Macaca fascicularis: one gene and its partner. The protein of the gene in region 1 interacts with the protein of each later gene in a pairwise test. Links are inferred from orthologs where the notes say so. Each region holds a gene or a part of one and is shown on either strand. Other genes may lie near its edges.

Region 1 (10,058 bases):
AGTAGAACACTAATTTCCGTTACAAATTGGCAGACAGATAAAATTTACTTGCCAACATTCTCCCTTTAATGTTAGTGTTTTCCTTGCTGCCATGCCCCTCACATTGTTACTCTGGGCAGTTCGTAGCCCTTTGGCTCTTGATGGCTTTGTATCTAGTAATAATGCAGGGTGCTCAAGGAAATAAATTCATTGTGGATATGCTGAAAACAGACTCCCTGACAGCTGTGCTAGCGCCAGAAAAGGACACAGCAATGGATGTGTGGTGTGGCCCTATCCTCAGAGCACTCTGTCAGGCAGGAGTCACACACTTGGGATACTCATTTTTTTAGGTACCGTTGCTCTATTAATATTCAAACAAACCTTTCACCTTGTACTCCCACTTCTGATAATTGACCCTAATGAAATAATCTAAAATATGACAAGCCTATGGAGCCTTCCTTCAGATGATCTTACTACCATTTTTCTTACCGGTTAAAAATTGCATCTTAAATGTATAACTCAGTGAATGACAAATCAATGAATGACATGTGTCTGATGGAATGTTATACAGCTGTTAAACACCATAGTTTAACACCACCTGGTGCAGTGGCTCACGCTTGTAATCCCAGCACTTTGGAAGGCTGAGAAAGGCAAATCACTTGAGGTCAGGAGTTCGAGACCAGCCTGGCCAATGTGGTGAAACCCCGTCTCTACTGAAAATGCAAAAATTAGCCAGGCGTGGTGGCACACACCTGTAATTTCAGCTACTCAGGAAGCTGAGGCAGGAGAATCGCTTGAACCCGGGAGGTGGGGGTTGCAGTGAGCCAAGAGTATGCCAATGCACTCCAGCTCGGGCAACAGATAAAGACTGTCTCAAAAAAAAAAAAAAAAAAAAAAAAGTCAATGTTAAAGAAAAGCTAATATTGGCGGGGATGTAGTGAGACTGACATCCTGACAGACACAAGCAGGACTCGGGATCAGTGTCGCCTTTCTGTAAAGCACTTTTGCAGTATAAATCAGGAGCCCTTGAAAGTTCAAAAGCTCTATTTTTGTAGTCCTTGTGCTAGATATCTTTCCCTAGATGGTTAAAAAGAAAAAAAATGGGGAACATTTTTTAAAAACAGGATTATTTATAATAATTAAAATCACTGGGCAGGGTGGCTCATGCCTGTAATCCCAGCACTTTGGAAGGCTGAGGCAGGCAAATCACTTAAGGTCAGGAGTTTGAGACCAGCCTGGCCAACATACTGAAACCCCATCTCTACTAAAAATACAAAAATTAGCTGGTCGTGGTTGTGTACACCTGTAGTCCCAGCTACTTGGGGACTGAGGCAGGAGAATTGCTTGAACCTGGGAGGCAGAGATTGCAATGAGCTAATGCCACTGCACTCCAGCCTGCATGACAGAGTGAGACTCCGTCTCAATAAATAAACAAACAAAAATTAGCTGGGCATGGTTGTGGGTGCCTGTAATCCCAGCCACTTGGGAGGCTGAGGCATGAGAATCGCTTGAGCCTGGGAGGCAGAGGTTGCAGTGAGCCAGGATCACATTGCTGCACTCCAGCCTGGGTGACAGACTGAGACTCTGTCTCAAAAATAATAATAATCACAGACAATTGATGTCCAGTGATGTGGAAATGGTTAAATGAATGATAGTACATCCATTCTAGATATTAAGATATAACGCAGCCATAAATGTCTGACCAAAAAAAGACAGGGTCTCACTCTGTTGTCCAGACTGGAGTACAGTGGATCACAGCCCACTGCAGCCTCAAACTCCTGGACTCAAGCAGTCCTGCCTTAACCTTCCTAGCAAGGCAATGTCATATTTTTTTCATAACATAGATTGCTTAAGAAACAGTGTGACGTAGGATAGGCGTGGTGGCTCATGCCTGTAATTCCAAGTACTTTGGGAGGCTAAGGCAGGAGGATCACTTGAGGCCAGGAATTTGAGACCTCATTTACACCAAAAAAAAAAAAAGAAGAAGAAGCAGGTGTGGCGTGTGCCTGTAGTCCTAGCTACTTGGAAGGCTAGGGCAGGAAGATTCCTCGTGTCTGGGAGCTTGAGTTTGCAGTGAACTATGATCATACCACTGCAATCCAGCCTGAGATCCTATCTCTGGGGAAAAAAAAAGAAAAAAGAAAAGAAAAAAGAATGTGAAGAAAAAAAGAACCAGTAACAAAAATTAAAAAGCAAATTCAGTAGTACATACTTTTAGCAGCCAGGTACTCTTCAGGTGCTTTGCATACTAATCGTCACAACAAACTTGTGAGATAGGCCCTATTTATTGTCTGTTTTATAGATGAGGAAAATGGAGCAGGAGCACAGCTATCTGAGGCTGCACAGCTCATTGGAGCCATTTATGTGATTGGAACCCAGCACTTTGGCTTCAGAGTCCTTGTTCCTGACCATAACACTCTAGCAGAGCTGGTCAGGATTCGGAGCACCTGAAAGCATGATCCAATTTTAGTTATCTCAAGATTGTTTCTTTTTCAAGTATATGCAAAAAAGGCAATTGTGCTAGGGTATTGAGAGTGGTCTTCTCTGGTTTACAAAATTATGGGTACCTATTACTTTTATAAGAGAAAAAATATAAAGGATTTTAAAGCGTGGACTAGAAAAGAGTAAGAAAGTAAACTGAAAAATAAAAGTGTGATTGTATTGAGATTGTTTTTTCTTATTTTAAAAAATATTTTCTGGCTGGGGGTGGTGGCTCACGCCTATAATCCCAGCACTTTGGGAGGCCGAGGTGGACAAATCACGAGGTCAGGAGATCGAGACCATCCTGGCTAACATGGTGAAACCCCATTTCTACTAAAAATACAAAAAATTAGCCAGGAGTGGTGACGAGCGCCTGCAGTCCCAGCTACTCGGGAGGCTGAGGCAGGAGAATGACATGAACCCGGGAGGCCACTGCACTCCAGCCTGGGCGACAGAGCAGGACTCTGTCTCTCTCTCTCTCTCTCTCTCTCTCTCTCTATATATATATATATGTAAAAATTTTTTTTCTATTATGTCAGTACATTCACTCTTAAAAGAAAACTTTTAAATAAATTAGTGATTACAAACCAGCCATCCTAGTAATTCTGGAAGCTGATGTTTGTGTTGATTTTCTTTTTTCCCCTGCTTGGATCAGGGTGTCACTCTGTCACCCTGCCGGAGTGCAGTGGCGCAATCACAGCTCACTGCAGCCTCAACTTCCCGGGCTAGGGTGATCCTCCCACCTCAGCCTCCTGGGTAGCTGGAACTACAGGCTTGTGCCACCATGCCCAGCTAATTTTTGTATTTTTTGTAGAGACGAGTTTGCCATGTTGCTCAGGCTGGTCTCAAACTCCTGGGCTCAAGCGATCTGCCCACCTTAGCCTCCCAAAGTGCTGGGATTATAGGCATGAGCCACCTCGTCAGGCCCTCATGTCAGTTTTTTACAAGAGATGGGGATGCTGCTGGGCTTTGATCCCTATGTATGTGCAAGCAAGGAAAGCTCAGAGACCCAGGAGGGCAGGAGGAAAACACTAGCCATAGTTCTCTCTGGAGGGCAGGTTTTACACAATTACTCTTAGCTCTTCAGTTTTCAGGTTTCTCGCCTATTTTCTACATTAGACATTTGTATAATATTTGAAGCATACGAAGTGCGCTTGAGTTACTTTTGTAAGGAAAAAAAGTATTAAGAAACATTGCTTTAACGTTTTCTACATTTTCTCAAAAGTTCTAGGCTCAGAAACCTTATTGCTCTTGTACTAGTTTCTTTTCTCTCTGCCTCCACAGGAAGGAAGAGGGAATGGTTTAAAATAGAAGATGCCATAAAAGTGCTGCAGTATCACAAACCCGTGCAGGCATCATATTTTGAAACATTGAGGCAAGGCTACTCAGCCAACAATGGCACCCCAGTCGTGGCCACCACATACTCGGTTTCTGCTCAGAGCTCGATGTCAGGCATCAGATGACTGAAGACTTCCTGTAAGAGAAATGGAAATTGGAAACTAGACTGAAATGCAAATCTTCCCTCTCACCCTGGCTCTTTCCACTTCTCCTCACAGGCCTCTTCTTTCAAATAAGGCATGGTGGGCAGCAAAGAAAGGGTGTATTGATAATGTTGCTGTTTGGTGTTAACTGATGGGGCTTTTTCTTCTCTTTTTATTGTGGGGTGGGGGTTGGGTGTGTAATTTGTAAGTACTTTTGTGCATGATCTGTCCCTCCCTCTTCCTACCCCTGCAGTCCTCTGAAGAGAGGCCAACAGCCTTCCCCTGCCTTGGATTCTGAAGTGTTCCTGTTTGTCTTATCCTAGCCCTGGCCAGACGTTTTCTTTGATTTTTAATTTTTTTTTATTAAAAGATACCAGTATAAGATGAAATCTTTCAAGAATTTGTCCTATAATATGCTGTACAGTTCAGTAGAGTGGTCACTTCCACTGCAGGATACATTTATCTACACATTATATATCGGACATATAATATGTAAATAAATGACTTGTAGAAAGAGAAATTTGTTTAATTTTTCAAGATTTTTTTCTCTTTTAATTTGGGCATTTCTGGAATTGAGAGCCTCACAATTAATATACCTTTTCGTTTTTGATGCTAGTGGCTGGGCAGGTTGCCCTGTCCTCTCTCTATTTCCCAGTCGTTGACTGTAGGTATGGGAAGTGTTTAGCTACCTTCATAGTGCTCCCAGGACTCATGGCCTTTCCTTCTTTAAGCTGTATTTCCATACCAAGAAAGAAACAGGAAGAAACCTTTATTTTATTATTATTTTTTTAACCAAGCTAGGAACAAATGTCTCAGCCCAGATCTGTAAAAACAATGATAGAAATTGAATTCTGCCCCACATGTTGACAGTAGGGTTTGAACTGGATTCTTGGGATTGCTTATCTAAAAAACTGGAGCATCAGGTACCATTTCTGTCCTGCTGGTTTGGAATCTTTTCCGTAATGCTACTTATTACCGACAACGACCTCTCTTTGTGTCCGTATATGCCTTACACCGTGCTGACCTGGATATTGTCCTTGTGCTCTGAAGCATCCAACTGTACTTTGCAGGTGCATCAATGTAGTCCCATCCCCGAACTGGGTAACCGTGTTCCTGAAAAGTACACTGGGGAAATTCACCTGCTTGCTTGTCTTTGTAATGGCACGACACTTGTGATTGCACCATGAAGCATGCTCAGAGCTATTAAACTGGTCTCCCATCTCCCACCAGGATATGAAAGGTCCATATGGGAAGCCACATAATCACTTATTACAGTGGTTACATAATACACTGGCTCACTGCAGAGTTTTGTTGTTTTTTGATACAGGTTTCGTGCTGGCTTCATTTGCCAATTGTGTTGTTTAGTTCGGAAGTAAGAGGGTCTTGAGATTGAGGGATAGGGAGGAGTACACTGACTGATCCCTGGCTTAGAACAAGAGATTATCTCTGTACCCCAGTGTCATCTCCTTAGCCAAGATGTGAAATTAAAATCGTAGTTCTCCTTATTTAAAAATTCTAATAAAGCACTCAAACTTTGAAAAACTTTTACTTTTCCCTCCTACTAAAAGAAATGTATGTACCTCATAGGCCTGTGTCATTTAGTGTTCAGCACTTTTGGGAACATCAGTTGGTGAACTTTAAATTTTGTTGTCTACTCACCAGGCATGGTGGCTCACACCTGTAATCCCAGCACTTTGGGAGGCCAAGGCAGGCGGATCATCTGAGGTCAGAGGTTTGAGACCAGCCTGGCCAACATAGTGAAACCCCTGTCTCTACTAAAAATATAAAAATTAACTGGGCGTGGTGGGCGCCTATAATCCTAGCTACTTGTGAGACTGAGGCGAGATAATCGCTTGAACCCGGGAGGCAGAGGTTGCAGTGAGCCGAGATTGCACCACTGTCGTCCTGCCTGGGCAACAAGAGTGAAACTCCATCTCAAAAAAGAAAAAAAAATTGCTGTGTACTCTTAGTTTACATTCTCTCTCCCAATCTTGAAACACAGAGCCAAAGAGCAGTTGTATTCTTGGGATACCATGATACCTCTGGGAAAGGAATTATATCCCCAAGGAGAGGTCCCATTGGAGAAGAACACCACTGTGGAACTTGAGTCTGAATGCCAACTTCCTATTCACATATCCTTCTTAAAAACGAACACACTGTTTCTTATCCTGACCTAGAGCATTCTAAAGTTCTGTTCAAATAAAGAGCAAAATAAAGTAGATTTAACCAAGTGCTAAGTGGAATTCAAGAAACACATTCTTCCAGATAAATACTACCTTTATGGTATGGATTTGAAAGTCCTTTGCAGGAAAACAGTCAATACTCTTTAAAAAAAGGAACTGCAGGGCCGGGCATAGTGGTTCACACCTGTAATCCCAGCACTTTGGGAGGCCAAGGCAGGTGGGTCGCTTGAGGACAGGAGTTTGAGACCAGCCTGGCCAACATGGCAAAACCCTGTCTCTACTCAAATACAAAAATTAGCTGGACGTGATGGTGCACGCCTGTAATCCCAGCTACTTGGGAGGCTGAGGCATGAGAATCACTTAAACCTTCCTGGGAGGCGGAGGTTGCAGTGAGTCAAGATCACGCCACTGCACTCCAGCCTAGGTGACAGATCGAGACTCTGTGTCAATAAATAAATTAGAAAATAAAACAGACCTGCAGTGCTAACAGTAATGTATACATTTGTTAATGGTCTGAGTGTGTTTTGACTGGGCTAGTGTAATAATATACTACCCTGAAAGGGCAGTTTTGATTGTTGTTGGTGTCTTTGGGTCAGGAAAGTGAACTGTGCCAACAAGTATTTTTCAGTGACATGAATGGATTCCTGTTAATGCAATTAACTGAGACACTGTGCTTATGCTTTCTTAACTGACAAAAAGAGGCTTTGTCCAACATCAGAATTGTTGAAACTGGTGCTGTTTTCTGTTGCATTGGGATTCTGATGATCGGGGATTTTCCCTCCCTGGCACTGTAAACACCATGGCCGTCTTTACTGAGAATATCATCACAGTCCTTTAGTGATACATTAGTTAGACCCATGGTTGCAATACCTTTATCTCCCCAAAGAAAAGAATCAAAAGAAAGCACAAAAACTACCCTGTTTGCAGAATATTTCATTGATATTGATTTGTCATTAATTCTACCAGTGCTGACCTCATTCAGACTTGGTAGAAACAGATTCCTATGTTTAGGGCAGATCCCTAGCCTCTTGCTCACAGTGAATTTGCATGTCCTAGATTCTGGTTATTGCTAGAGCATCCATTAAAGTCTACCAAACTCAGGACAGAAAAAGATAGCAGTGGATTTTAAAAAATTTTTAGTTTATAAATTACAATCATTGGGGAAACACTAGTAAGGTCATGTGGTCTTTTGGACCAGGATTTTCTCCTCTCTTCTGTCTCTCTCTGTGTGTATATATATATGTGTATGTGTGTGTGTGTGTGTGTGTATGTGTGTGTGTGTGTGTGTGTGTGTGTAGGAGGACAGAAGGGCTACCAGGAGGTGTCAACCATGTTAGATTTTCTGTAGCCTTCCAGAAACAGTGCAGCCCATGAAACAGGAATCTTAATTTTCCTCATTGCAAATATAACAGGATGGAACAGTTAGTGAATTGACTGTTTTGTTTTTGCAAGTGTCCACCACTCCATCCGCCCTGCATGGAGAGGGCTCTCTCACTGCTAGGTCTAGGCTGAGCCATCTGGAAGGATCAAAGGGTGTGGGAGTATCACTGCCTCTCAGGCTGCAGAAGGTCTCGAGGGTGGTGTCACAGCAGGATTTCCGCCTTCTGCATTGCGCTGCACAGCCCCATGGAACGTGAGGCACTTGAGGCCTTGCTTCTTGCAGCCTCTGGGGAGCAGAGTAGGTCACTGCCCTCTGGGAGTGTTTTGCAGTAGTTTTGTAAATGTGTTGCTACATAGTCAAGTTCCTTTGTGGCAAAGAAATATTTTGTTTTGATATTAGGAGCCAGCCCATGTATTGTCTCTTAGGCTTGCTTGCTTAGAAGAAAAAAGTCACCCTCTGTGGTTTTTAAAAGAAGAAAAAAATTCTGTGCCAATCCGTTCCTCCCCCTGCTCCTTCCCTTTTCTCTACATACAGTGCTCATTGGGGGCTCCTGCTAAACCTTCTTAACCAGAGAAGTAATAGGTACTTGTTAGACCTGAGTGTACGTTTCACATGTTATCCTTCACCTATTTCTCATTTCATCTAGTACTTTCTTAATGCCTTTGTTGGAGTCCCCATCCTCATCTTTAAAAAAAAAACAAAACAAAACAGCTGAGCCTAAGCCACATGCACATTTTTTAGTTCACAAAAAAGGATTTAATAGCCACATTGTGATTTTTGCCACAACTGTGTGATTTTAATATTCTCTAATATCAAGGGTGGATTTAGAATTAAAGGAAATACCTGGAGAAATCACAGTGGGATGAATTTTTGCTTTAAGAGAAATGAGAGTTGGCTGTAATTGATAATACAGCTTTATCCTAGTCTCATCTGCATTTCAGAAAATAACCCTCATCTTTACAAAACATAGGACACTTGTGAGACAGTTAACTCAAGCAGCTATGGGGAGGGAGGACATTATTGAACGGTGATTAAATAATGCAGATGGCCCTTCTGTTTCTTAAAGACGGTGGAAGAGGTCAGACTGCCCAGTTGAGGCGGCAGGCATTTATTCGGAGTCCTGTTGGATAGAGCCTGTCTCCTCGAGGCTGCAGAGGCTTCCAGGATGTGGAGCTGTGCATGTTAGTGACTCAGCCTTGCCTTCATCAGGGCACCCACCTAACTTGGAGCAAGTGGGAGAGGACCCCAGAGTCATCCTCTGTGCTGTTTGGTGAGTTTTGCAGCGGAGACTTCACCATCCAGGAGAGCTGTGTTTCTGTGTCACTTGGAATATCACCTAAAAATGAAACACTTGATATTTTAAGGTATTAAAACAAAAAAAAGTGAATTGGGGAGCATTGGCTGCAATCCCTAAAAGATACTGTTATCTGTGCATCAGGTTGACTTGAGATCACCACAGGTCCTGGGAGCCCAGAGAGTTTAGGCATGCTGTCCTTTGGAGGCCAGCAGCCTTTCACAAACCCTGCCTCTAAAAGGGTGGTTTCACATTGGACCATGTTTTTGCATTAGCCTCAGAAACTCTTGTCTTTAGCTGATAACCTTTGAGGGATGTGAGAAGCCTAGTTGGAGCATCTGAGAAAATGATACCTCTCACCTTCAAATTAATCAAATAGTTTGTCCTCCTAGTCCCCTTATAAATTAATAAATGGAGGACCAGGCACGGTGGTTCACGCCTGTAATCCCAGCACTTTGGGAGGCCAAGGCGGGTGGATCACGAGGTCAGGAGTTCAAGACCAGCCTGACCAGTATGGTGAAACCCCGTCTCTACTAAAAATAGCAAAATTAGCCAGGCGTGGTGACACACTCCTATAGTCCCAGCTACTCGGGAGGCTGAGGCAGGAGAATCGCTTGAACCTGGGAGGCAGATGTTGCAGTGAGCCGAGATCCCGCCACTGCACTCCAGCCTAGGCGACAGAGCAAGACTCTGTCTCAAAAAAAAAAAAAAAAAATTAATAGGAAGAGAATCCCATTTTGTGATGATTTGGGCACACTACTTGAGCTGAGGCTAGCAATCATGTGATTTTGGCTGTCTCTGACCTGAAGCTTTTGAAGTAAGAGTTATGTCTCTTCCCTGAAGCTTTGTTTACGGTGATAATTTGGTGAGTTTGAGCTTGTCTTAGAAAATAAGACTGTCCACCTGGGGAGGGGAGCTTATAGGGAACCCATGTTAACTCAGAATGCTGAAGAAAGTGCTTTTAGCCAAAAAAGTAAGATTACGGGGCCGGGCGCGGTGGCTCACGCCTGTAATCCCAGCACTTTGGGAGGCCGAGGCGGGCGGATCACAAGGTCAGGAGATCGAGACCACGGTGAAACCCCGTCTCTACTAAAAATACAAAAAATTAGCCGGGCGCGGTTGTGGGCGCCTGTAGTCCCAGCTACTCGGGAGGCTGAGGCAGGAGAATGGCGTGAACCCGGGAGGCGGAGCTTGCAATGAGCCGAGATCGCGCCACTGCACTCCACCCTGGGTGACAGAGCGAGACTCCGTCTCAAAAA
Region 2 (10,931 bases), on another chromosome or scaffold:
AACCTGGACTGTTCTGGTCAGATCAATAATCTGGACATTATAATTTTTTTCTTTTTTTCTTTTTTGTCGAGATGGAGGTCTCACTTTGTTGCCCAGGCTGGTCTGGAACTCCTGGGCTCAAGTGATCTGCCTGCCTGGGCCTCCTAAAGTGCTGGGATTACAGGCTTGAGCCACTGCACCTAATTCTTTCATTTTAATTAAGAGTGTTTTTCTCTTCCAAAAGGTGGTTTTAAAATTTCACATGTGGTTCTCTCCTTATTTTCAGTCGAGAAGAAGCAAAAAAAAAAAAAAAAAAGGATTAGAGAGTAAAACAATTGGCAGGAGCTTTTGGATATTTTTACTTATTCTATTGTGCAACACATTCCGTGACAATACAGGTTTTCGAAGTTGTTTAGATGGTTTGTCTGTGAGCATGTCTGTTCCTACAGTTCTCCAGAACATGAGAGCCCTTCATGCCTAATCTGGGCTCCTGCTGATAGACTTCTCAAGGGGTGTGAGTTGGCCAGCCATGGACCTGGATACATGGACCAGTGGCTACAGGAGATGTGAACACAATGCTGAGAGCAATGGAAATGTAAGCAAAGTAACATGTATGCTTGGTGAACAATCAGAAGTATGAAATATGAGAAACCAAACCTGCCTGATTGATAAGAATGGGGGGCCGGGTGCAGCGGCTCACCCTTGTAATCCTAGCACTTTGGGAGGCTGAGGCGGGCGGATCATGAGGTCAGGAGTTCGAGACCAGCCTGACCGATATGGTGAAACCCTGTCTCTACTGAAAATACAAAAATTAGTCAGGTGTGGTGGTGCGTGCCTATAATCCCAGCTACTCAGGAAGCTGAGGCAGGAATATCGCTTGGAGGCGGAGGCTGCAGTGAGCCGAGATCGTGCCACTGCACTCAGGCCTGGAAAACAGAGTGAGACTCTGTCTCAAACAAAACAAAACAAAACAAAAAACAAACAAACAGAATGGGGGGTAGGCGGTTTGAGGAGCATGAGGCTTGGACCTATTAGACCTGGAGATTTGGGGAACTAGGGATGGCAACCGTGTTCCTTGTACTGTATGCAAAAGGGAAGTAACAAGTATTGAATGTTCACTTACCTCTTTCATTCCCCAATATGAAGTAGATATTCCCATTTCTGAAAAGAAAAAGAAAAAAGGAGGCTCGGAAGAACCAGAAAGCAGATGGAACAAAGAGGACTTCATTCAGTATCGGATGAATTAAGTTAGTAGTTCTATGTATGTATGTGGGTCTTCTAATTTGATTTTCAAATTGTTCTTTAGAAAGATTTTTAGCTATATTAAGATTTCTTAAAAAGCTGGGCCATGCCAGGCAGGGTGGCTCATGCCTACAGTCCCAGCCACTCAGGAGGCTGAGGCGGGAGGATCACTTAGCCCAAGAAAGGCTGCAGTGAGCTATGACCATGCCACTGCACTCCAGCCTGGGCAACAGTGAGACCCTGTCTCAAATAAATTGAGAAAAAAAAAAAAAAGAAAAAAAAAGCTAGACCAAGAGTATAATTTCAGGCATCAATTCTGTAGTTCCTTACTAGAGAAGTTTCTCTCAATGTGTACAGCACTGGAAACCATGAGGAGGTGGCAGGACAGCATTCTCTGCTGAGCGTGAGGTTGGCTCTTGGTGTTGCTTTGCTGCAACTGTCATTTGCCATTGATGATGGTTCTTCTCTTCCTCCAAGGGAGAGGGAGAGAATGCAGTCTGAGTGGGGGGAGAAGCCTGGGCCATGCACTTACAGACTGTTAACATTGGAGTCTTGCTAGTGAACATTTTAGTTGATTGGATTGTTTGGACAGCTGAGTTTGATATTTACAATATCCCTAGCTTACCACTTAATGTCTGCTCTTCTAGATGCTGTCCTTTTCCCATATCTTGTTAGTATTCTCTTTAACCCATTCTTCAGCTTGGTGAAGTGTTAGTATTCCTTCCTCTGACACTTGTTCACTCAGCACAAAGAATTCCTACTGTTACCTCTTCAGAACCCTACAGTCATTACAGATGAGGAAGCTGATGCAGGTAGGAGACACGACCAGAAGCATGGGTCATGATGTTAAGAGAACAGGGACTCAGAGTGGGGTTTTAATCTAGTTCACCCACCCACTTACTAGTTTGTAACCTGAGAGCTTCCACTTCCCCATCCCCAACATGGGGTCATCCTGTCATGGGACTGTTGTGAAGAATGAGATGCCACACAGACGAGCAGTCCTAGCTAATGTTAGCTGTTAATGGGTGAAGGAAAAGCAGGCACTTAACATGTGGATATAGGCTATCACTTATCTTTGTCTCGTGACACCATCCTCACTAGTTCACAACTGCCCTTTAGTACAGGCTGAGCATCCCTTATCCAAAATGCTTGGGACCATTTGTTTCAGATTTCTAATTTTTTTTCAGACTTTGGAATATTTGCATATACCTAAGGTTTTTATATATACTTTATGATCTTAGATATTTTAGACAGGGTCCCGCCCTGTCACCCAGTCTCGAGTATAATGGTACAAACATGGCTTACTGAAGCCACAGGCGAATACCACCGCGCTGCACTGATTTTTTAAAAAATTTCTTCTAGAGGCGGGCATGGATTTAAGTGATCCTCCTGCGTCAGCCTCCCAAAGTGCAGGAATCACAGGCATGAACCACCATGCCTGGCCTATGGTTTTAATATACAGGTTGGGCATTCCTAACCCGAAAATCCAAAACGTTCCAATGAACATTTCCTTTGAGTGTCATGTTGATGTTTTGTTTTTTGGGTAAGGGATGCTCAAGCCATATATTAAAAACACAAAACTAGCCAGGCATGATGGCTCATACTTGCAATCCCAGCACTTTGGGAGGTCAAGGCGTGCAGATCGCTTGACACCAGGAGGTTGAGGTTTGTCTACAAAAAATTAGCCAGGCATGGTGGCATGCCTGTAGTCCCAGCCACCTGGGGGTGGCTGAAGTGGGATGATTGATTTGAGCCTGGGAGTTTGAAGCTGCAGTAAGCCATGACTGCACCAATGCATTCCAGCCTAGAACCCCTCTCAAAAAACTTAAAACTCTTTAATACTGACACCTACATACTCCTACCCATTGTTAACTGCACCTTACTCAAGATCCTAAATTGTTCACCATCCCATCTTTTATATTTCTCTTATCAGATGCATATACTTAATGTCTTTGCTCAAAGTGTTGCTTTGAACATTCCCAGGCATGTATCCTCATGTCCACATGTAGTTTCTCTTGAAGTAGAACTGCCATTTTCCCCAAGTAGTTGCAGTAACTTATACAAATGGTCTTTTTCACATTGACATGACAGCCCCGGCTAGAAGTCATGCTTTTCATCACTGAATGTCTTCATCTATTAAATGCTAATGCAGATAAGGATAAGACTCATTCATGTGCCTGGCATGTCATTAGCTGCTCTGAATACACAATACCCATGGTTTATTATATAATCCAAGCCTGAAAAGTCGAAATTTCCATTCATGGTATTTTTTTTTTTTTTTTTTTTGAGACGGAGTCTCGCTCTGTCACCCAGGCTGGAGTGCCCGGCTAGTTTTTTGTATTTTTTAGTAGAGACGTGGGGTTTCACTGTGTTAGCCAGGATGGTCTCGATCTCCTGACCTTGTGATCCGCCCGTCTCGGCCTCCCAAAGTGCTGGGATTACAGGCTTGAGCCACCGCGCCCGGCCTCATGGTATTATTAATTGGCAAACAAAAAAAGCTCTTAGCTTTTGGAACCCAGGTTTGAATCTTGTTTTATCCACTTTGTGTAACTGGGGACCTTAATAAACTATGAAGTAAACTTTCTGCATTCCTTCAGTGTTACCCAAGCATTTGGTGAGACATTACACAGCTAGGTCTTAGTTTCTTTACAACCTTGGGATGTAGCAGTCAATTCAGCATAGGTCAAAGTTCATTATTAGGCAGGGTTGTATAGGGTAATTACCCAGGAGGCTTTCTAATGCTGGTCTGTATTACCCTCTGCCCCCAGTGGAGGGGACACACCTTATAATCCTCAAGTTTATACAGGTAACCTGGACAAAGCAAGCATCTGCTCTGATCTTTCCTCCTGACACCCCAGTGCAGTTTTTAACACTGTACCATGAGGTGCCTTCTTGTTAGCATCAGGATTGTGTATAATCTCACATCTGGCAACGGTGGCAGGGAAAATCCAGCCTGTCATGGCAGAATAGGTTGAAAGCCAACATTACAAAACTGATACCATTTTTGCAGAGCGCATTCCCAAGCTATGGGCAAGACCAACAGCAGTAAAGTTCAGCTTTTTATTGAACACGTTATAAAAGAGATTTAGTCAAAAAGACCAAAGCCCATGTCATCATCAGATTCCTCCGATTCTTCTTTCTTTGCTTCCACTTTCTTCTCCTCAGCTAGAAAAAAAACAGTCAGGTGTTAGGATTTCCATACATCATCTGCTTGTGGAAAATTAATGGCAATTTTACCTATAATACTATATATATTTTTTAAATCTCTACACTCCTCCCAATACTAGAAACTCCATGTTTCCTACCTGGAGCAGCAGCAGTGGAGGGGGCAGGACCTCCTGCTGGTGCAGCACCAGCTGCTGGAGCAGGTCCACCAGCCCCTACATTGCAGATGAGGCTCCCAATGTTGACATTGGCCAGGGCCTGCAATACATGTGCATGCATAGGTAAATGCCCGGTTCTGTCCTTGTTACACAGCACTCACGCACCAAAAACGAAAAGTATCCCCCCTTCCAGGTTACAGTGATCAACCCCTAACACTATATACAGTGGGTTCCACATCCATGGTTTCAACAGTGGAAACGCATGCATACCAAACATGTAGACTTCCAAAGTATACAGGAGGATGTGCATAGGTTATATGCAAATACATTTATATAAGAGATGGAACATCCTGGGATTTTGTTATTAGTGGAAGGCCCTGGAATCAATACCCTAGACACTGGCTTTTCTTTGCTAACAGCAAAAACTTAGGTTAGACAGGGCAACACACTACTGTTCAGCTTTCAATCGTTCAGCTTTGAATCTGATAATTACTTTCCTATATGTTAAGAACCTCCTGAGGTAGCTGATTTCCCCTCCTTTTACAAATAACATGTTGGCAAAAAAATAATCCAAACTTCCTGAAACACTCAAATGAATATTCTTTGCACAATTCCATGTCTCCTCTGAACAGTGAACTCAAATTTTCAGTCTTCTAAACATAGGACTTAAAGATGACATAGATACAATGTTTACAATCTTTCAAAACTCTTTAGAGGACACAACCCCGGAGTTAGATGCTATCAGCTTAACTTGCCAGAGATTAAGTAACCTGTACAATGGAAAATAGCCAGTGCAAGCTCCATGACCAGGAATCTCGTCTTTATTAGTCTTTTATATCCCAACACATAGTACCTACTGTGTCAATAAAGTCCGCTAAACCCAAATGTCCATTAAACCACAGGTTTAATGCAAGAATTTGCTTGCAACTTTAACATGGGTAGTACCTATCTCCCGGGTGATCCTTTTTGGGAATCAATGACCTGATTCAGATTTTTTTTTTTTTTGACCATGGTTTCAGAGCAAAAGGGGAAACCAGAGTCTGATAAGGAAACATAAGACTTGAGAAACTGAAATCTTCTTAGCTCCTAGAGATATAAATGCAACCAAATACACCTAGGAGATCCAGCGGCATGTGGGGCCTTATGGCACTGCTGGAGGTACTTCAGCATGTACACCTGCCCTCGTAAATCAGCAGGCTTTACCACATCACTTTGCCACCATCACCTTACCTTTGCAAACAAGCCAGGCCAAAAAGGTTCAACATTTACACCGGCTGCTTTAATGAGGGCATTGATCTTATCCTCCTACAACAAATAAAAACGTCAATCCATCAAAACATAGCGTATGTAGTATCTCCAAAACGCTGCAAGTCAAAGGCAAGTCACTCAATAAAAAGTGTACAGGACATGTTTAACCAGCTCAAATATTCTATCACAAGCAAAAGAGATGTGTGCCAGGCGCCCTGCAATGAGGCGAGCCCATCACTGCTGTTTCACGGGCTGGGACTTGCCTGAGTCACGCGGCTATTTTTAAGTTAGGACCTGGAAGGTGGAGCCGAGCTGGGGCGCTATCCTCCACGACCCGGGGAATTCAAGGCAATTATACCAAAAGAGTTCCAAGTAAGTGTCCCTGAGAGAGACGAGGCGCGGGTCAGGGTGCCCAAGCGCTGCGGAAAAGCTTTTCTACACGAAGGATCTTGGAGCCGGAGAGCCCAGCCTCAAGCGCACTCCACGCCCCCCGGGCCCGCACGTGGTCCCGGGGGCCCAGGTCCCGCTCTGCGAGAGAGGCCCCAGCCCCCAGGAGCGCCCGCCCCATGCCGCCTGTCTTCGCGGCCTGGCCCCGGCCGGAAGTGCTGGGCCCAACGGCCTGGAGCCCGGAACCGCATGGAGAGGCGGGAGTCGCCGCCCACAGGCAGCCAGGCCGCCGACCCGCGCCCGCACTCACCGTGACGGTCACCTCATCGTCATGCAGAATGAGGGCCGAGTAGATGCAGGCGAGCTCGGAGACGGAGGCCATAGCGCGGGCAAGTGTGGGGCTGGCGCTGCCGGACGCGGTGCTAGTCGCCGGATGAAGTGAGGCCCTCACTCCAACGCGGCCTTAGCTTTCTCGGAAGGACCGAGCACCTTCGCGACAGCTGAGGAAAGAGGTTCTTGCGCCTATGCGCAGTCTCTTATGTGACCACGCGGACCAATCGGCGCCCGCACCGGGCGGAAGAGGCGGACCCAGGACCGATTGAAGACGCCTGCGCGCTGCGCCTGCTTCGTTCTTCCTGTTGAGAAAGTTTCTCAGCGCCAACAGTTACGGTCTCACTTTATTTTCTTAAATTATAGGACTTGAGACGGTTAAAAACACTTTTAGGATAGGGTTGCGTAGGTATTCGGACTTCGCCGCCGTTGGTTCCATGAGCTGCTTGACTTGGCAGGAGCTGCGCTGTGGCCGTGGTGACACTGTTCGTAATCTCCCAGTTAGGTCGCGGCCTTCCCAGCCGGCGCTGACCCTGAGGGTAAAGGCTGCGTCCCACCATGGACGTCGCTGCTTAGCGCTGGGCCTTGGGTGAGATAGATAGATGTAGGTAGATGTAGGAGGACAAGCAAACTAACGGCATTATGATAGCAGTAGCCGTGGAGCGCTTACTATATCCCAGTAACTGAGCCACATTCTACAAGGATTCACGTAATCCTCACACAGCAGGAGTTGGATGTTATCTCCATCTTGCAGATGGCAAAATTAAGTCTTAGAGCCGATAACTAGCCCAAGATAGTGTAGTTACCGCGCGGTGGAGCGTGGAGTTGGAATCTAGAAGCCTTAGACCTGGTAACTAACCCAAGGTTGCATAGTTCCGCGCGGTGGAGCGTGGAGTTGGAATCCAGAAGCCTAACTTCACCGCCTAGTGCTTCGGGGAAGGGGGATTATGGGTAAATTGTATACAACCTGTTATTTGTTATCTGAACCCAATTTAAATTCCTACCTTCAAAAATGGTCACCTTTACATTGCTCGTGGAATTTGCTTAGTTTACTGGAAAGTTAGTTCAAGATTTTTTTTTTTTCGGGAACCTTCATTTAGTCCATCCCATTATTTAATAATCATCTCTGATGAAACATTTCTGTTGGAATCCACCAATCTAGAGTCCTATTTGGGTCAATCTTAACTACAAACAAATAGTTTCATATCCCGAATTTTTTTAAAAAAGTTTTTATAAAGCTATCAAACTTTTTAAAAATAAAGCTACTGAGTTTTCATCCAAATCTAAGAAGCCATTATAGTGGAATTTTGGTCAAGAAAGCTTAAAGCTATTTAAAAATCCAAACATTTCCAAAGCTACAATGAGTCAGTCCAAAATACTGTGTACCTCCAGCAGTGTACTTAAAAAACTGATCTGCCGGGCGCGATGGCTCATGCCTGCAATTCCAGCAGTTTGGGAGGCTGAGGCGGGTGGATCGCCTGAGGTCAGGAGTTCGAGACCAGCCTGGCCAACATAGTGAAACCTCGTCTCTACTTAAAAAACAAAAAAATAGCTGGGCGTGGTGGCGGGTGCCTGTAATACCAGCTGCTAGGGAAGCTGAGGCAGGAGAATCGCTTGAACCCGAGAGGCGGAGGTTGCAGTGAGCCGAGATCGTGCCATTGCATTCCAGCTTGGGCAACAAGAGCAAAACTCCGTCTCAAACAAACAAAAAAAAACTGATCTGGTTGGCAAGTGGCACTTTGTGGTCACTGAGGAAATAATCGTTTTCTCCACGTATACGCACTTTTACAGGGTATCAAACAGTAAGCACTAACCACAGCTATTAAAGAGAAGTAGCTAAGCAAAATGTCAGTACTCATGCATTTCCTTTTGTGTTGTTGAAGGACTTAGTGCATTCAACAGTTACTTCAGACAAATTCCACTGCCCCATATTCTCCTATCATAGTAAAAATTTCCCATTAATATTTTGAAAATACTATGCAATAAGCCATTTAAAATTTTTTTTTTCCTGAGACGGAGTTTTGCTCGTTCCCCAGGCTGGAGTGCAATGGCGCGATCTCGGCTCACTGCAACCTCTGCCTCCCAGGTTCAAGCTATTCTCCTGCCACAGCCTCCAGAGTAGCTTGGATTACAGTCGCGTGCCACCACGCCTGGCTAATTTTTTGTATTTTTAATAGAAATGGGGTTTCACCATGTTGGCCAGGCTGGTCTCAAACTCCTAACCTCAGGTGATTCGCCCATCTTGGCTTCCCAAAGTGCTGGGATTACAGGCGTGAACCACTGCGTCTGGCTAAATTTTTTTTTTTTTTTTTTCAAGTGGGTTGGGACAGGGCATGGTGGCTCATGCCTGCAATTCAAGTACTTTGGGGAGGCCAAGGCGGGAGGATTGCTTGAGCCCAGGAGTTCAAGACCAGCCTGGGGCAACATAGTGAGACCCAGTCCCTATTACTTTGTGGTTTTTTTTTTTTTTTTTTTTTTTTGAGCTAGGGTCTCATTCCATTGCCCAGGCTGGAGCACAGTGGCGCCATCACAGCTCACTGCAACCTCTGCCTCCCAGGCTCAGGCAATCCTCCCACCTCAGCCTCCCCTGTAGGTGGGACTACAGGTATGTGCCGCCATGCATGGCTAATTTTTAAATTGTAGGGATGGGATTTCAGCATGTTGCTCAGGCTGGTCTCGAACTGAGCTCAAGCCATCCTGTAGTGCTGGGATTACAGGTGTGAGCCACCATGCCCAGGCTGTCTCTGTTAAATAATAATTTAAAAAGCAGGCTGGGTAGTGACTCATGCCTGTAATCCTAGCACTTTGGGAGGCCAGGTTGGGAGGATTGCATGAGGTCAGGAGTTTGAGACTAGACAAGGCCACAGAGCAAGGCCCCATCTCTACAAAAATAAAAAATTAGCCAGATGTGCCGGCATTTGCCTGTAGTTGCAGCTACTCAAGAGGCTGAGAGGATTGCTTGAGCCTGGGAGGCTGAGACTACAGTGAGCTGTGATCATGTCATTGCACTCCCTTCTGGGTGACAGAATGAGATCCCATCTCAAAAAAGTAAGAAAAAAGCCAGCCTGGACAACACAGCAAGACCCCATCTCTACAAAAATAAAAAATTTTTTAATTAGCTGGGCATGGTGCTGAGCACCTGTGGTCCCAACTACTTGGGGGGCTGAGGCAGAAGGATCACTTGAGTCCAGGAGTTTGAGGTTATAGTGAGTCATGATTGCACTTCTGCATTTCAGCCTGTGCAACAGAGCAAGACCCTGTTTCTGAAAAAAAATTAAAAAACAAGAAAATCAAAAAATAAATTCTGTATCTACTAAAATAGCAATTTAACGTTTAGTGTTCTGAAGCATTCTAAAAACACACATATAGGCCAGGTGTGTTGGCTCACGCCTGTAATCCCAGCAGTTTGGGAAGCTGAGAAGGGCTTATCACCTGAGGTTGGGAGTTTGAGACCAGCCTGACCAACATGGAGAAACCCTGTCTCTACTAAAAATACAAAATTAACTGGGCCTGGTGGCAGATGCCTGTAATCTCAGCTACTGGGGAGGCTGAGGCAGAATTGCTTGAACCTGGGACGCGGAGGTTGTGGTGGCTGAAATCACACCATTGCACTCCAGCCTGGGCAGTAAAAGCAAAAATCCATCCCCTCCCCCCCAAAAAAAAACTCAACACACACACACACAAACACATATATGACATTGTTTACTACTATACTGTGAGTGACTAGTGCATTTTATCTTCTCCCTTAACTTTTGAATCAGCTTTTGGCAAGGACTAATACCACACTTTTATTATGAATAACAAAATATTAAACTATCATTTTAGTTAAAAAAAAAAAAAAAAGTGGTCGGGCATGGTGACTCACATCTGTAATCCCAGCACTTTGGGAGGCCGAGGCAGGAGGCTGAGATTGGGAGTTCGAGACCAGTCTGACCAACATGAAGAAACCCTGTCTCTACTAAAAATACAGAATTAGCAGAATAATCTACTAATACAAAAGGCAGAAGAATTGCCTGGACCCAGGAGACAGAGGTTGCGGTGAGCCAAGATCGTGCCATTGCACTCCAGCCTGGGCAACAAGAGCGAAACTCCACCTCAAAAAAAAAAAAAAAAAAAAAAATCAGCCTCAAATCCAAATTAAATTCAAGTAAAAATGTGTGTTCACCCATGCAATGGGATATTTCACCATAGTTTCGACAGTATTTTTTCTAATTTATGTTGTCCCCAATGTTTTTTGTTTAAATGTCTAGAAGTCATACTTAATATGTAGATAATTATGGTTGTCACATAAAAAAGGCATTGTCCATTTAACATATTATCTTGTATTTTTTAGTGCTATCTTTCAATTTGTCCCACAAACAATGAGTGCCAGGTGAATGCAGGCCACTGTGCCAGATGCTGGGAGGACGTGCTGAATGAACG

What was found.
Region 2: the proteins of NUDT3 (region 1) and RPLP1 interact in a two-hybrid assay, tested with the Homo sapiens proteins (2 studies listed by BioGRID and IntAct). The link is inferred for Macaca fascicularis from reciprocal best matches to the Homo sapiens genes NUDT3 and RPLP1.

What each region holds. Positions count from the first base shown.
Region 1 is NC_088378.1:137,406,751-137,416,808, forward strand, and holds the end of NUDT3 (diphosphoinositol polyphosphate phosphohydrolase 1), read left to right. Parts: intron 1-3,744; coding exon 3,745-3,923; 3' UTR 3,924-5,731; downstream 5,732-10,058. UniProt on the Homo sapiens protein: Cleaves a beta-phosphate from the diphosphate groups in PP-InsP5 (diphosphoinositol pentakisphosphate) and [PP]2-InsP4 (bisdiphosphoinositol tetrakisphosphate), suggesting that it may play a role in signal transduction.
Region 2 is NC_088381.1:46,245,543-46,256,473, reverse strand, and holds RPLP1 (large ribosomal subunit protein P1), read right to left. Parts: upstream 6,692-10,931; 5' UTR 6,562-6,691; coding exon 6,490-6,561; intron 5,850-6,489; coding exon 5,775-5,849; intron 4,645-5,774; coding exon 4,527-4,644; intron 4,387-4,526; coding exon 4,307-4,386; 3' UTR 4,268-4,306; downstream 1-4,267. UniProt on the Homo sapiens protein: Plays an important role in the elongation step of protein synthesis.